3 linked regions of the Mus musculus genome follow. The protein of the gene in region 1 interacts with the protein of each later gene in a pairwise test. Links are inferred from orthologs where the notes say so. Each region holds a gene or a part of one and is shown in the gene's direction. Other genes may lie near its edges.

Region 1 (4,430 bases):
AGAGCTGCTAGTCTTTTAATCACTTAGCTCTCTTTCCAGCAGTGTGACTTATTTACATTTTATTACCACTTTGTTTATGTGTATGTGATGGGGGGGGGGTATCACACATGTGTGGTGTGTGTGCCATGTTCTAAGTCAGAAGCCAACTTTCCAACATCCTTTCTCTTTCCACAGTGGGTTATGGGGAGGGAATTCTGGCTAATCAGGTTTGCATAGAAAACACAAGCACTTTTACTGAAAAGGCATCTCACTAGCCTAATTCTGAAAATTTTATTGATGATCTTAGAAAGAGTGATACTCCTTACACTGAGTTGCTTAACTATTAGGATTTAAATTTGAATCTATGGAAAACCATCTTGCCACACCAAGAAGACTAGAGCCCCTCTGTGGGTGAAAGCGACCGACCGCACGAGTAGAGTACAATCACAGATGACAAGCTATAGACATAATCTTTTGGGCCCTGTCAATGATCCCAATCTACTCTGGCCTTTTCAATTACTTCAGCTGTAGTGACGCTGGATCAATGCGAGCTTGGGTTGCTAGAAGGTATTTGTGCGCAAGGTCTCAACAGCACTTTGTACCTTACTTCGTCATCCCTCTAACTTGCCCTGAAGCCTCTCTTGAACTTCAAGCTCTATCTCTATGTACCTACTGATGACCCGCAAGCATGTCCAAAACTGACCTCACTATTGCTGTCCCAACTTTAGTTCCCGTCTAAGGTAGAGCCCTCCAGGACCACCTTGTCCCTTTCCCCTAAAAGACCAAGGTCGTTAAGTTCAGGCTCCGCCCACTCCACTCGGCCTCCCAAGGTCACCGCTACATCGCTCGCCAGATCCCTGGGGGCGGTGTCCGTGTACCCCTCGATGCAGGGCCAGGCGCTCTAGGCTGCAGCCAGCTCTTCAAAGAGCTTTATCATCTCGCTGATTTCTTTTAGTGGGCGGCTACTCTCTCCGCTCAAGTGGCTTCTCTATGGTTAACTTCTCGCCTTTGTCTAGAATTTGCTTCGGATGACGGACCCAACGCCTTCCCACAGCTGCCTCAGTGGTTCCTTTTAGGTACAACTGCCGAAGCCACGGGAGCTTAGTGAGACCTGTGTTGGCGTAGCTCCTGAAAACCTCGGCGCCGAGAACGATGGCGGAAGTGAATACGAAGGTGCCCTCCTTCTTACTGCTCTTCTCTATGGTCGCTTCCTTCCGCGTCGGGGAACCCGTCCCAGCGCCTGCGCAGAAGCGCGTGCTGGGAGCCCGTCGCGGAGGCGGGGGGCACAGGGAGCGGGAGCTGCGGCCGTCGCCGCCGCCGCCGCTGCCGCCGCCGGAGCTAAGCGCGGGGACCGAGATGCAGGTGGGACCGGAACCGGAACCCCCCTCTTCAAGTGCCTCTTTCCTCTCCGGACTCGACCCTGTCGTCTGAGAAGCCTGGGCGGGGGTGGGCGTGGGGGCTCGGGGCTGGAGGGGTGCTCGGCTCCCGAGAGGGCAGCAGATAGTTGGTCCCTCGGAGGCTCCGGCCCAGGGGCTTGTGGAGGGTGTCCAACGACTAGGATCGGGTCCGAGTGATTAACCACGGGGCCCGGAGGGTCCGAACCTGGAGCGCAGCCTGCACCCTCCACCACCCGCCCTTCTGGAATGTCAGAACTAAGCCAAGAGGCAGGTGCACCGGAAAACTGTGACTGAGCCGTCTTGGCAGAAGAGAAACTGAGTCACCAGTCCAGGAACCGCAGGGTCAGCGGGCCTGAAGGGGGCTGGGTCGGCCAGTAGTGCTGAGGGCTGGGTGGGCCTGTGTGAGCCGAGGTAGCCTCTGGCTGGGGACTGTCTCTGCCGTGCCTGCGCCTCTTGGCCCCGATTCCCCTGTGCTCTGTGACTCCCGCATCTCCTGGCTGCTTCTCCCTGGTTTGGAGTTGTCCCTGTGGTTGGAGCCATCGGAGTATGTAGGAAAGGCCAAGGAGGAAGGGGAGGGGGGGGGGGTCTCTGACTTGCAGCTTGGTTGTAGGCTTGATGAAGAGGCTGGCATCACTGATAGTTTGGGTAGACTTTCCTGAGCCGTCCAGAGGTGTCTCCTTTCAGTCGATCATAGGGCAGGACCACTCACCAAAGAGCCACCGGTTGTAAATTACATATGGAGCTCTGTCACTTTCTAGCTGTGATGTAAGAGTTGGGGCACCCGCAGAAGCGCTTCCTTTCTGGAGCGCAAATGGGACCCATCATACTGTCCTCCCCCATAAAAAATAGTTACAGTGGCAGTGATGTCTTGTGTGCTTACTGTGGAAAGCATAGACATGTTCCTTGTCATTTCATTTCTCCTGACAACTGTAGCAGGTAGCGGTTAGTAACTGTGTTTTACAGAGACAAAAGCTAGGTTCACACAGCTAACAGGTGGACTGAGCTGGGGCTTGAGTCCAAAACTCACAGGTACACTCCCCAGGGAGTGAAAATTCCTGAGCCCCGGCTCCGTGCGATGCCTTACTTCTGTGGCTAGTAAAGACTTGTCCTGACCCAACACACCATCTCTTTTTCTCTAGCGCTGCTATCACTCAGCCCTAGACTGTAGGGGCAACCCAGAGATTGGCCTTCAGCCAATCCAAGTCTTCCCACAGGGCTTAAGTGCTGGGTTATAGGATCAGCTTCGAAGACAACTGAGCCTTCAGTCCAACTTCCACTCATTGGACCTATGATGCAAGGTCTTTAAAGGGTGTAATCCCTGCACCCTTTGGTCCCCTGAGAACAGAGCAGTGGGAGCTGTGGTCGAGGCTGGTCCAGCATATCCCTGGAGACTAGAACTGTGCAGTGGGAAATGCGGTAGACTCTGAGTTCTGGAACTTGTTTGAATCTCTGTTTGAATCTCCGTTTCCTCATCTGTAAGAGGTTAGTAAGTTGTCTAAGGAAAGGTAAAATGACCTTGTAGAGCCCTCTGGAATGGCACACTTAAAATGTGTGATAGTTAGGGAAGGTTTTGTCTTAGAGAAGGGATGGCAGTGATCTTAAGAGTCCCCTGTGGGGTAAGATGCTCCAAGGCCCTTTCCTGGGTCCCACAACAGGGAGAGGGGTGACAAAGGCAGCAGGATTGGGCTTAGCATCCTTCATCCCTGGGGTATATGAGGGTTATTGATCTTGAAGAGGGCAAAACAGTTTAGTTCTCTTCGCCTGTTGCTCTCTGAGGAGCCTGGAGGGGAGTCCCTGGCCTGGGCTGAGATATAACTCAATCTCACTTCTACAGTAACTCAGTGTATGTGCCTCTTCTTTCTACAGCTGTTGCCGCACATCCCGTGTCTTCTGGCTGCTTCCCTATTTGTTCCCCGCAGGCTTCCCTTGTCCTCCTCCTGGGGCCCATCATGAATGGTGCCCCTTCCCCAGAGGATGGGGTCTTCCCTTCTCCGCCAGCGCTGCCACCACCCCCTCCCCCAAGTTGGCAAGAGTTCTGTGAGTCCCATGCGAGGGCAGCTGCCCTGGATCTTGCCCGACGTTTTCGCCTCTACCTGGCCTCCCACCCACAGTATGCAGAGCCGGGAGCAGAGGCCGCTTTTTCTGGCCGTTTTGCTGAGCTCTTCCTGCAGCACTTCGAAGCCGAGGTGGCTCGGGCCTCGGGCTCACTCTCCCCACCTGTCCTGGCTCCATTGAGCCCTGGTGTGGAAATCCCACCATCACACGACCTGTCCCTTGAGAGCTGCAGGGTGGGTGGGCCCCTAGCAGTGTTGGGCCCTTCTCGATCTTCTGAGGACCTGGCTGGCCCCCTTCCTTCCTCAGTCCCTTCCTCTACAACATCCTCAAAGCCAAAGCTCAAGAAGCGCTTCTCCCTCCGCTCAGTGGGCCGTTCAGTCAGAGGCTCTGTTCGAGGCATCCTGCAGTGGCGGGGTGCCGTTGACTCGCCCTCCCAAGCTGGGCCTCTGGAGACCACATCCGGCCCTCCAGTTCTAGGTGGAAACAGCAACTCCAACTCCTCGGGTGGTGCTGGGACAGTTGGTAGGGCATTGGCTAATGATGGCACATCCCCTGGGGAGAGATGGACTCATCGATTTGAGAGGCTGAGGCTAAGTCGTGGAGGGGGAACCCTGAAAGACGGAGCAGGAATGATACAGAGAGAAGAGCTGCTGAGTTTCATGGGGGCTGAAGAGGCTGCCCCTGACCCAGCAGGAGTGGGTCGTGGAGGAGGGGCAGCTGGGCTGACCTCAGGAGGAGGAGGGCAGCCTCAGTGGCAAAAGTGTCGCTTACTGCTCCGGAGTGAAGGAGAAGGAGGAGGAGGAAGTCGCTTGGAGTTCTTTGTACCACCCAAGGTGAGCCCACAGGAAGGTGGGTAGCTGAAAGTGACAGTGGCTGGAGAGGAGGCTCAGCTCTGCAGATAGCTGTGGGGTTACTAACCCACATACACAATATTGCTGTCCTGGGTTCAGTGCTAACTGTGGGCTCTCAGTTGCCATGGGGGGATCTGAGACCAAAGAA
Region 2 (4,758 bases), on another chromosome or scaffold:
TGCTCTACCAAAGAGCCACAGCCCTAGGCTACTACTTAAAAATATTTTTGAAAAAGCATTTATTTATTTATTTATTTATTTATTTATTTATTGCGTGTGTGTACAGGCACCTTTTCTGTGGGAGCTCAAGATTGAACTCAGATCTTCAGGGTTAGCAACAAGTGCCTTTACCTGCTGAGCCATATTGTCAGGTCCACTCTTATTTTGTTTTCTGTTTATTTTATTTATTTTTAAAGTCAGGACCTCATGTGTTCCAGGCTAAGCTCCAATCCTGATCCCCCTGCCTCTACCTTGTGAGTAAAGACATTAAAGACCTGCTTCCCAATGCTTGGCTCTTTGTTTTAGCGCTCTCTCTCTCCTCTCTCTCTCTCTCTCTCTCTCTCTCTCTCTCTCTTTCTGTTTATGTATATGTTTGTATGTGTGTGTTTATGTGTGTGTGTGGTGTGGTGTGCTAGGCCAAAGGTTGACCTTAAGTGTCTTTCTCTATTGCTTGCCACTTTACTTTTATTTTTACCTTTTTTTTTACAGATATTGTCAAACCCATTGCACAGACCAGCAGCCACAGTCCGGGTCTGAGTGAACATGTGAAGCAAAGGATAGAGGACTCTGTACTGCACATATTCCTAAGGCACCGACAGGGTTAGCGCCTCATGATGTGGTTGAGCAGGGCTGCTAGTGAATGGCTTTCTTAGACATACAGCCACCTACTGGTATGTGTGTTGAAAATGGAGTTATGTCTGCTCTGATCCTATATGAAGTTTCTAACGTGTTTCTAGAAGCCTTGTTATGTTCTTCTAGAGTCATTTCCTTATTGATTTCTGCTGGAATTCAGTGCTGGGTGGAGGGGGCGCAGGCCAGGGAATACAGGCTGCCTGCATTGTGGACACGTGGCTGTGGCCTGGAAGCTGGTGCCTCCAAGCTGCTGGGCGGGAGCTCACTGGGGAGGGAACTTGTTGGGCGCCTACTAGCTCCTCGAGAGAGCCAGGGTTGGGAGAATCTCGTAAGACATTGGTAGCATAGGCTGTAAAGAAAAACAGAATCAAAGGTAAAGAATTAAAGTGAATTCCCCACGGGAGTCAAAAAAATAGTAAAAAGGAGTAAAGAAAGACAAAATGTGCTTGGTTGAATCTGGCATCTAGGGGCATATTGGGGTGTTTATGTCCTGGGGTATCTGGCGGCATTTCCAGACTTTAAAATTGTTATTTCGGGGTAATTTGGGGTGTCTAGATCTGGCGGAGATCTAGAGTGTGCTCCAGACCTTTAAATTGGAACCTCGGTGTTACTTGTGTTTGCTGCAGTCAGGAGGGGACCTGGGGGCGTCCCTAGGCTTTTAAACTGGAACCTCAGGCCTGTTTAGTGGTTTTCGAGTCAGGCGGGGATCTGGGGACCCCTAGGTTTTAAAATCGGAACTTTGGGACTCTTTGGGGGCGTTCGTGTCAGGTGCGGATATGGGCAGCTCCGGACGTTTGACAGGTGAGTCTTAGAGTTGTTTGGGTGTTTATGTTACACTGGTATCTGAGAACGCTTACAAGCTTTTAAATCGTAATCTTTCTAAGCCAGCAGTTCGGGGTGTTGGGATTGGAAGAATCTGAAGTGAGCCTCGGGTCTCTGAAGTTGCGGGTTTTACGGGGCAAGGGGGCAAAGGGGCCGAGGAGGCGAGGAGGCGAGGAGGCGTGGCGTTGCCAGCTCTGGCCACGCCTCCCCGAGCTCTGCTGGCTTTCTCCCCCTCCCCCCCCAGCGGGCCTCACTGGAGCGCACAGTCCCTTCCCTGTCTTAATCCGCGCCACCTTTTCCCTTGGCCCGCGCGGGCCCAGCTGACGGGCTGCGTTGTTTACGGGCTGGAGTCGAGCCCTAGCTCCCGCCGCCACCACCAGCCCAGGTGCCCTCCAGTGCGCGCGTCCCTCTGTCTCAGACTCCACACAACGCGACCCACCCAGAGCTGCACGGAGGGCAGAAGCAGGAGACCCGGACAGGAGACGCACCGCGGTGAGCTCTGGACTCTGGGATTGCGGGCACGGGACCGGGCCTGGGTGACCTGCGGGCCGCGCCACGGTGTTGCTTGCGGCCGAGGCCTCTGTGCTCTTCCCGGGACTGTCCCCAGGGCCCTCTAGGCTGGAGAGCTGCGGCCTGTGAGCCACGGGCGTGGAAGAGAAGGACGTGCGGCCCCGAGCGCCTCTCCAGAGACCTTCTCACGGAGTATGTCCCCAGTAGGCCGGCGTGGCGTGCTCTGATCGCCGGGGTCCCAGCACTCCTACTGCTATGGGCTTCGGGAGAGGATGTGAGACGACGGCTGTGCCATTGCTGGTGGCCGTGGCCGCGTTGCTGGTGGGCACAGCCGGCCACCTGTACCCTGGAGAGGGTAAGTCTGGGACAAGAGGCGATCACAGTATGTCGGGGACACTTCTCCCACCGCCCCAGCCAATCTAGAACCCTCACCCTAAGGAGTGAGGGTCGGGGACACCCCTCTCCACCGCCACAGCCAACCTAGAGAATTCTCCCTTTGGGCTGAGTAATGGGGACAACCCTTCCCATTGCTCCATACAACTTAGAGCCCCCCAGGCCCCACCAAGGAGTCAGGGTTACAGACACCCATTTCACCACTCCAGCAATATAGTCCTTTCACGAGAGTTGTGGACATTTCTCGTTCTTCTTCCATCAACCTAGAGCCCCCTCTCCACGGACTGAAGGTTGAAGACTCCCGTAGCGTCCTTGTGTCTATGAAGAGTCCCCTCCCTATAGTGATCATCTTTACACTGGGGAAGGGGAAGAGTGGGTTTGGTGGCCCTGGCCCTGCGTGAAACCCCGGCTGACCTTGGCCTTTGCTCACTGGGCTTGTGGCTCTGTACCCCGCGTGTGTCCATCTCGGGTCTGAGGAACCTTGCCCCAGTGCCCGCCCAGGCTTCGGGTGTCTGTCCCCAGTGCACCTCTCAACTGTGTCTGTTCTTTTCTCTAACCCCAAATCTGTCCTCTGAGGCTCTTTGAGGTTGCTTTAAGTAAGTATGGTTACTGGGTTGCAACAGATTCAGACATCTGAGCAGTTTAAACCCAAAGCCAGGGGTATCCTCTTCGACGGAGGACACTTGTTGGAGAATCGACCCCTTGTGGCTGCTATGTTTATAATTCTCTACTTCCAGATGTCTAGAGGCAAAGTCTGCATACCTTTGGCCCCACAGCAATCATAGTAACAGTAGGGGTAGTTTTCAGGATGGTTATAATTAGAATGATTATGAGTCTCCAGGCTGGTTAGCGCTAGAACCTCCCAGTGTTCCCTGGAGGCCAACATAGTTACATACCCATTTCAGAGAGGGCTAAAATGAGGTTCAGTTAGCCCATTTGTTCAGAGGCTGGTCTTATAGTTCTGTGCTTGGTTATGGCCAAGGCAGGAGGATAGCGAGTTGTTTGAAGCAAGCCCAGCTATTGAGTGAGTTTTGAGGCTAGTTAGACACTGTTTCAAAAAACATGCAATGACAAATGTCTTTTGAGTTACTGGTTCAGCTTTCTCTGAAAATGGAAATTAATTACAATAGGGAAGGGGTCAAGGAGAGAAGGAACTGCCACGCTTTTGTGAATGAGGGAGATGTGTGTGTTGGGAGGAGGGTGCAGGATTATGGAACAGGTTGGGTTGATCTTGTGGAGTGGGTCTGCTAAACTGGTAATGTCTCTGAGGCCCCCAGGATCCGATATACAGAAGGTACTCAATGAGGAATGGCCATTGGTTTGGTTTGTGCCCGAGTGCACGTGTTCGTGCGTGTGCATGTGTGTTCGCGTGTGCACTCCTGTGCCTGTGTGTTTGTAGAGGACCTAGGTTGACATCCAGTGTTTGTCTCTGTCACTTTCAGCCTTGTGTTTTGAGTCAGGGTCTCTCAATGAACCTTGAGTTTGCTGATTTGGCCGCACTGCCTAGCCTGTGAGTGCCAGTTCCCCCTCTCCCTTCACCTCTTTTTATCACTAGAGTTATAGATAGATGTATGCTGAAGTGCTGGCTTTTAGGTGGGTGTGGAGAGATCTGAACTCAGGTTTTCATGCTCGGGCAGCAAGTGCTTTGACTTACTGAGCCATCCATCTCAGTAAGTAAAAACGGAGCCAGTCCATGGTTTGGGTTCTTATTAGAAAAATCCAAGATTGTTAACATCTACATTGCTCTCTGAGGCCTTAAGGAAGTAGGGTTATGTTGTATATGCACCTGTGCACTTGGGCGCATAGTGTTGTACCTTGAGCTCTGCTTTTACATTTTTTGGTAATTGATTGTTTGTCCATGTCTGGACTTCCTGAGCCCAGGAGACAGAGCTTCTGGGGGCTTTTAAATATACATGCAGTGTTCACAAGGATAGGGCCTGGTGTTTGTTCCTCACCGATGTTAGAACCTGAGCAGTGCTGGACACATAGTAGGTGCATATAAACATTGTTCCCTAATGGCACACAGAAAGCCAAGACATTGGGGTTTGTGCAGTAAATATACTGGGTGTGTGGCCAGAGTGTAGCCCTCCCTGTGCACACACAAAATCCCTGGGTTTCATCCCTAGACTTACATAAACCATGTGTGGCGTTGTATGCCTGTCAGCAAGCACTCTGAAGGTATAGGCAGGTCTATCAGGAGTTCAAGGTCATCCTGGGCCAAGTTAGTGATTTTGAGGCCAGCCTGAGCTACGGGTGACCCTGCCTCAAACAACAACAAGAATAACAAAAGTCTTAATTTTCTAGAAAATCCCCATACTTTGTAAATATGATCTCATGAGTCCTTCCCACACCTCTTCAAAG
Region 3 (4,664 bases), on another chromosome or scaffold:
GTCAAGGGAAAATATTTAGCCTGTCAACTGAGGGAGGTGGGGGACAGATGTGTTGGGGAAATAAGGTTGGGGGCCAAGAACTGAGCTCTGGAACCCCTCTCTCTGTCTCAGTTTCCCTCTCTCCCCCATCCCCACCCCCCCAACCCGCTCGCTGCAGATCTGGAGGGAGCGGCTGGGCTCCCTGGCTTGATTTGCAGGGGAGTTCTGGAGTCCAACAGGTGTTTTGACATCTGCGGGGTAACTTCCCGCAGCCTGGACAGGTCGGACTCCACTGGTGAAACCTGAAGACCTCACCACTTCGACCTCACCACTTCGCCTCTCACAGCCCTTCCCAGCCTCCCGAGGCTACTTTGAACATACTTCCTTGGCGCGGGGTATGTCCCCGTCAAATCCCTTGGTTTTGGCTCAAATCCCTAGGAGACGAGTCGTTCTTCTCTCTGTGAGATTCCTCCTTCATTTGGTTACTTTTTTTTTTTTTGGTTTTTCGAGACAGGGTTCCTTTGTGTAGCCCTGGCTGTCCTGGAAGTAGACCAGGCTGGCCTCGAACTCAGAAATCTGCCTGCCTCTGCCTCCCATGTGCTGGGATTAAAGGCGTGTGCCACCACTGCCTGGCTCCATTTGGTTACTTTTAAGAACTCAGGATGCTTAGTGGGTCTCTATATATGTACTTATTCGGGGCCACTTGGAGGACAATTCATGATGGGATGATCTCTTAAACGCGACACTTATACGTGCAGTCAAGAAGGCCATTGCGCAAGACTTGCCATTTAGTGGCCTGGATGCTGGGCCTGAGACTTCCCAGGTTCACAAATACCGTGAGCCGATGGTTCCCAGCTCCCACGTCCGAAGAACTAAGAGATCTATTAATTTCTCCGCACAGAAATCGATGCTCTTGTCAGGACGGCGATCGATGCCAAGCTTGGTCTGCCTGGCCATGGCTCGGCTCTGGGGCCCCAGATGGATGGTTAGGATTGGGAACTGACCCTAAGACCAGAGGCACAGCTTAGAAAGGCTCAGAACTGCTCTTCTCCGCCCTCGAAGCCCCAGGCCGAGCGCAAACGCCGGGCGCGAGGGCTTCTAGCGCCACCCTGTGGTCTTTTGAGGACCGAGAGGTCTCCACTTTCCAATCTTCCTCCAATTGTGTTCTAAGGACTCTTCTCTCCCACTATTTTTCTCCCCAGGTTCTGCATCCAGCCATGCTGAGGCCCTCTCCCTTTCCTTACTAGGGTCTGGAGAGCGTTCACCTAACTTATTCCAAGTGACATGCACACCCTCTTAAGTAAAGTGCACCGTGAGGCTGGCTGGGATGACCTGGACTTCAACCCTTCCCTTGCTCAATTTCTCCACTTCCCCGCAAATCTGAAAATGCAGCTGTTTTACTGTGAGAAATAAGGTATCAGCTTCCTAGCTCCCCCAGCCTCAGAAGACACTTGTGAGGCAATCTATGGCAGCCCCCCGCCCCAGGTCTCCTGCAGCCGCGAGGGACATTAGGAAGGCGAGCTGGCATTAGGGCCTCAAAAGGGGAGGGGGCACTGGGGGCATTGGCAGGCGGGGCGGGGCGGGGCCGTGGGTGCCGCCCTCTCCTGGTGGCTAGTCTTTAACACCGCCCCGCGCACGTGTCGCGCGAGGCCGGGCGGCGGCAGCTAGGAGCGCACGGACGGCTGCGCGGCCCGAGCAAGGCGGGCGCCGCCGCGATGCTGCGAGGCCAGCGGCTCGGGCAGCTGGGCTGGCATCGCCCGGCCGCGGGGCTAGGCAGTCTGATGACTTCGTTGATGCTGGCCTGTGCCTCCGCCGCATCCTGTCGCGAGGTCTGCTGTCCCGTGGGCCCCTCGGGGCTGCGCTGCACCAGGGCAGGGTCCCTGGATACCCTCCGCGGCCTGCGGGGCGCCGGGAACCTGACGGAGCTGTGAGTGTGTGTCGTTCGGGGGAGGGGTGCGGGGTCAGGAGGGCACAGCCCTTCCCCGAGGGCGCGCACTCATTCACCTCTGGCTTGAGGGGTCAGGCTTGGCTGCTGTAGGAGACTGGCACGTGTAGCCTTTGGCTGTGCTGCGGCGGCTTCTCCCGCTGCCACCACCCTGGCAGAGCCGCGCAGTCACTGTCTGGATGTCGCTCAGGATTAAGGGTAGCTAACTGTGGTGCTGGTTTGGGGTAGAGCAAGACCGAAACTAGGTGGATTAGGCATTGGTCCAGCGATCTAGGATAAGAACCTTTTTGTGGGGTTCAATCAAGAGCCCAAGTTCCTAAGCCCATGGAGGAGTGGTTAGCTGTGCAGAATTTGGCAGTGTGGCACCTTTGCTATCTTCTTTTACTTAGGGGGAAGCCAGCCCCCAACCTCTTCCTTGTCATGCAGGGAATCCAGCTCTTCTCTGGATTTGTGATTGAGCTGGAGTTGGTGGGAGATGGTGAGGAACCAGCTTGGTGTCTGAGCTCTTTTTTCCTTTCCACTGACCACAAGTCTCCTTGATTTGGATGCGGGAAGCAGGGAACGAAACCCCTTTGCTTCTCTCTCTGCTCACCCATCTCTCCTTTCACCTTTGTCTCCCTTCTTGTATCAGGGAGTCAGGGCTGTTGCTGAGTGATTTTCCCATTTTCCAGGTCCAGAGCTGGGAGGAACCTTCAGCTCTGCAGTACTTAGACAATGTGCAATAATCGGTTACAAAATACTCAAGTACTTTGTAGCAGCTAGTGAGACCTTTGAGAGTATAATTGACCTGAAGGAACTCCGCATCACACAGTGATGGCTGGAAAATACTTGAGTATTCTGCACGCTGGTGGAGCTAGCAGCCTGCAGTGATTGGCACCGAGTTACTCGGGCATCTTGTGGTAATTAACGGAGGTACTCAATCTCTTTCTAATGGCCCTAGGGAGACCAAGAAGAGAGGAGATGGCCTTGTCTTGGTCTGGGTCTAGGCTCCTGCAGGATGGGATGGGGTTTGAAGTCTAGATGGTTACTCCCCGGCCTGTCCATTCAAACCAGAGTCCAGCCTCCTGATTGTTTCCATCAATGTTCTCGTTCTTCAGAGCCTTTCAAGACTCCAAGGGAGTCCAGCCCAGGGACAGGGGTAGTGGGCAAGCCTAGATTATTGAGGAAGAGGCTGGCAGGGTGGTGAGCTGAAATGTTCACCCCCCTGGGTGGGGCCTGATCCTCCCAACTCCTCCTGCACAATCCTCTCCCTCCTCCCTCACCCGCATAGCTAACAGGGAGCTAATGGACTCAAATAGACAGATTGATTATGAATCTGAACAAATGAGGCGGCATGAAGCACACACACTGCCTGACAGCTCACACATACCCGGCTACATAGATCTTCTTAGCAACTCCCTGGGTCTCTATAGCTTGAAACCCTTGGGGGCAGAACAGGGATCTGGACTCCCTCAACGTGGCTAGCAACAATTCCTTAGAACTCCAGGGGGAGGACAGACACATAGCCATCCTATGGGGAACAAGGCTGGGATCAGGGAAGCACAGGGTCCCTTGGACTGACTGGTTCCCTTACTCCTTTTTTTTTTTTTTTAAGCCAAGGGAAAGTTCCCAAACAAGTCTGTCTGTCTGTCTGTCTGTCTTTTGCCTCCCTGGTTCTCAGCCCTTATCTCTGTCTTGGGGTCTCCATCTCCTTATCTGTGAGTCCATCCACTCCAGGATCCTCTCTCCCTTCCTGGGTCCCTCACGATTAAGGAGGGGCTCGGGGAGCGCCCAATGGCTCTATGCTTCTTGCTTGGTTTGGCAAAGTGCTGGAGAGGAGAGAGTAGGGGTTGCTGTGGGGAAGAACCAAAGGTTTTGAGGGGGAAGAGTTCTGAGAACTGTTAGTGAGTCAAGAGCCCCTAGCACACGCAGGGATGGGGAAAAGAGGAGGCCATGGACATGCCCCCACAGAGGACATGTCATTACAGGGGAGTGTGTTCACAGGAACTCCAAGATGCCAGAACTACAAGATAGGACTGCGCCCACAGCCACTCCACCCCAAGGGCTGCTTGCTCTCTGTCTGTCTGTCTTTTGCCTCCCTGGTTCTCACCCCTTATCTCTGTCTCAGGGTCTCCATCTCCTTATCTGTGTCTCTTTCCTCCCCGCCCAGCCCACTGTCTTCTTACTGTCAGTCTCTTCTGGGGTTTTCACTCTTTGTTTATCTGCCCTTGCTCTGCCACCCACCTCCTCCAGCCTTCACTGTCTCACACTGTATCTCCGTCTCTCTTCACCTCCACACTCAGAGTCCATTCACTCCAGGATCCTCTCTCCCTTCCTGGGTCCCTCACGATTAAGGAGGGGCTCGGGGAGCGCCCAATGGCTCTATGCTTCTTGCTTGGTTTGGCAAAGTGCTGAAGAGGAGAGAGTAGGGGTTGCTGTGGGGAAGAACCAGAGATTTTGAGGGGGCAGAGAGAGCAGAGTGTATTGTGTGTATGTGTCTATGTGGTTGGTGTCAACGAACCCAGATGGTAGCCACAGAGCAAGTACGTTTAGGAGCACACAGTAGCATGACAATTGGGACGTCCTTAGCATTTGAGTGGAGCAAGTACCTCCAGGAGTCTTGTCCTTTGTGGAGGCTAGTCTCAGCATAATTTCCTATCATTGAGCATATATATGCTGGAGAAACCTGCTATAAAAATGGAGCCCCAAGCTGAGAATGGCAGTGGGCATTGACTAACATGTCTTCACATCTTCTCATCTA

The links.
Region 2: the proteins of Sh2b1 (region 1) and Insr interact in binary tests that used the Homo sapiens proteins (3 or more experiments, as listed by UniProt). The link is inferred for Mus musculus from reciprocal best matches to the Homo sapiens genes SH2B1 and INSR.
Region 3: the proteins of Sh2b1 (region 1) and Ntrk1 interact in a two-hybrid assay, tested with the Homo sapiens proteins (2 studies listed by BioGRID). The link is inferred for Mus musculus from reciprocal best matches to the Homo sapiens genes SH2B1 and NTRK1.

Annotation. Positions count from the first base shown.
Region 1 is NC_000073.6:126,471,907-126,476,336, reverse strand, and holds the start of Sh2b1 (SH2B adapter protein 1), read left to right. Parts: upstream 1-1,206; 5' UTR 1,207-1,341; exon of another isoform or gene 1,342-2,858; intron 2,859-3,242; 5' UTR 3,243-3,325; coding exon 3,326-4,264; intron 4,265-4,430. UniProt on the Homo sapiens protein: Adapter protein for several members of the tyrosine kinase receptor family.
Region 2 is NC_000074.6:3,276,630-3,281,387, reverse strand, and holds the start of Insr (insulin receptor isoform A preproprotein), read left to right. Parts: upstream 1-1,770; 5' UTR 1,771-2,259; coding exon 2,260-2,359; intron 2,360-4,758. UniProt on the Homo sapiens protein: Receptor tyrosine kinase which mediates the pleiotropic actions of insulin.
Region 3 is NC_000069.6:87,792,175-87,796,838, reverse strand, and holds the start of Ntrk1 (high affinity nerve growth factor receptor precursor), read left to right. Parts: upstream 1-1,676; 5' UTR 1,677-1,694; coding exon 1,695-1,906; intron 1,907-4,664. UniProt on the Homo sapiens protein: Receptor tyrosine kinase involved in the development and the maturation of the central and peripheral nervous systems through regulation of proliferation, differentiation and survival of sympathetic and nervous neurons.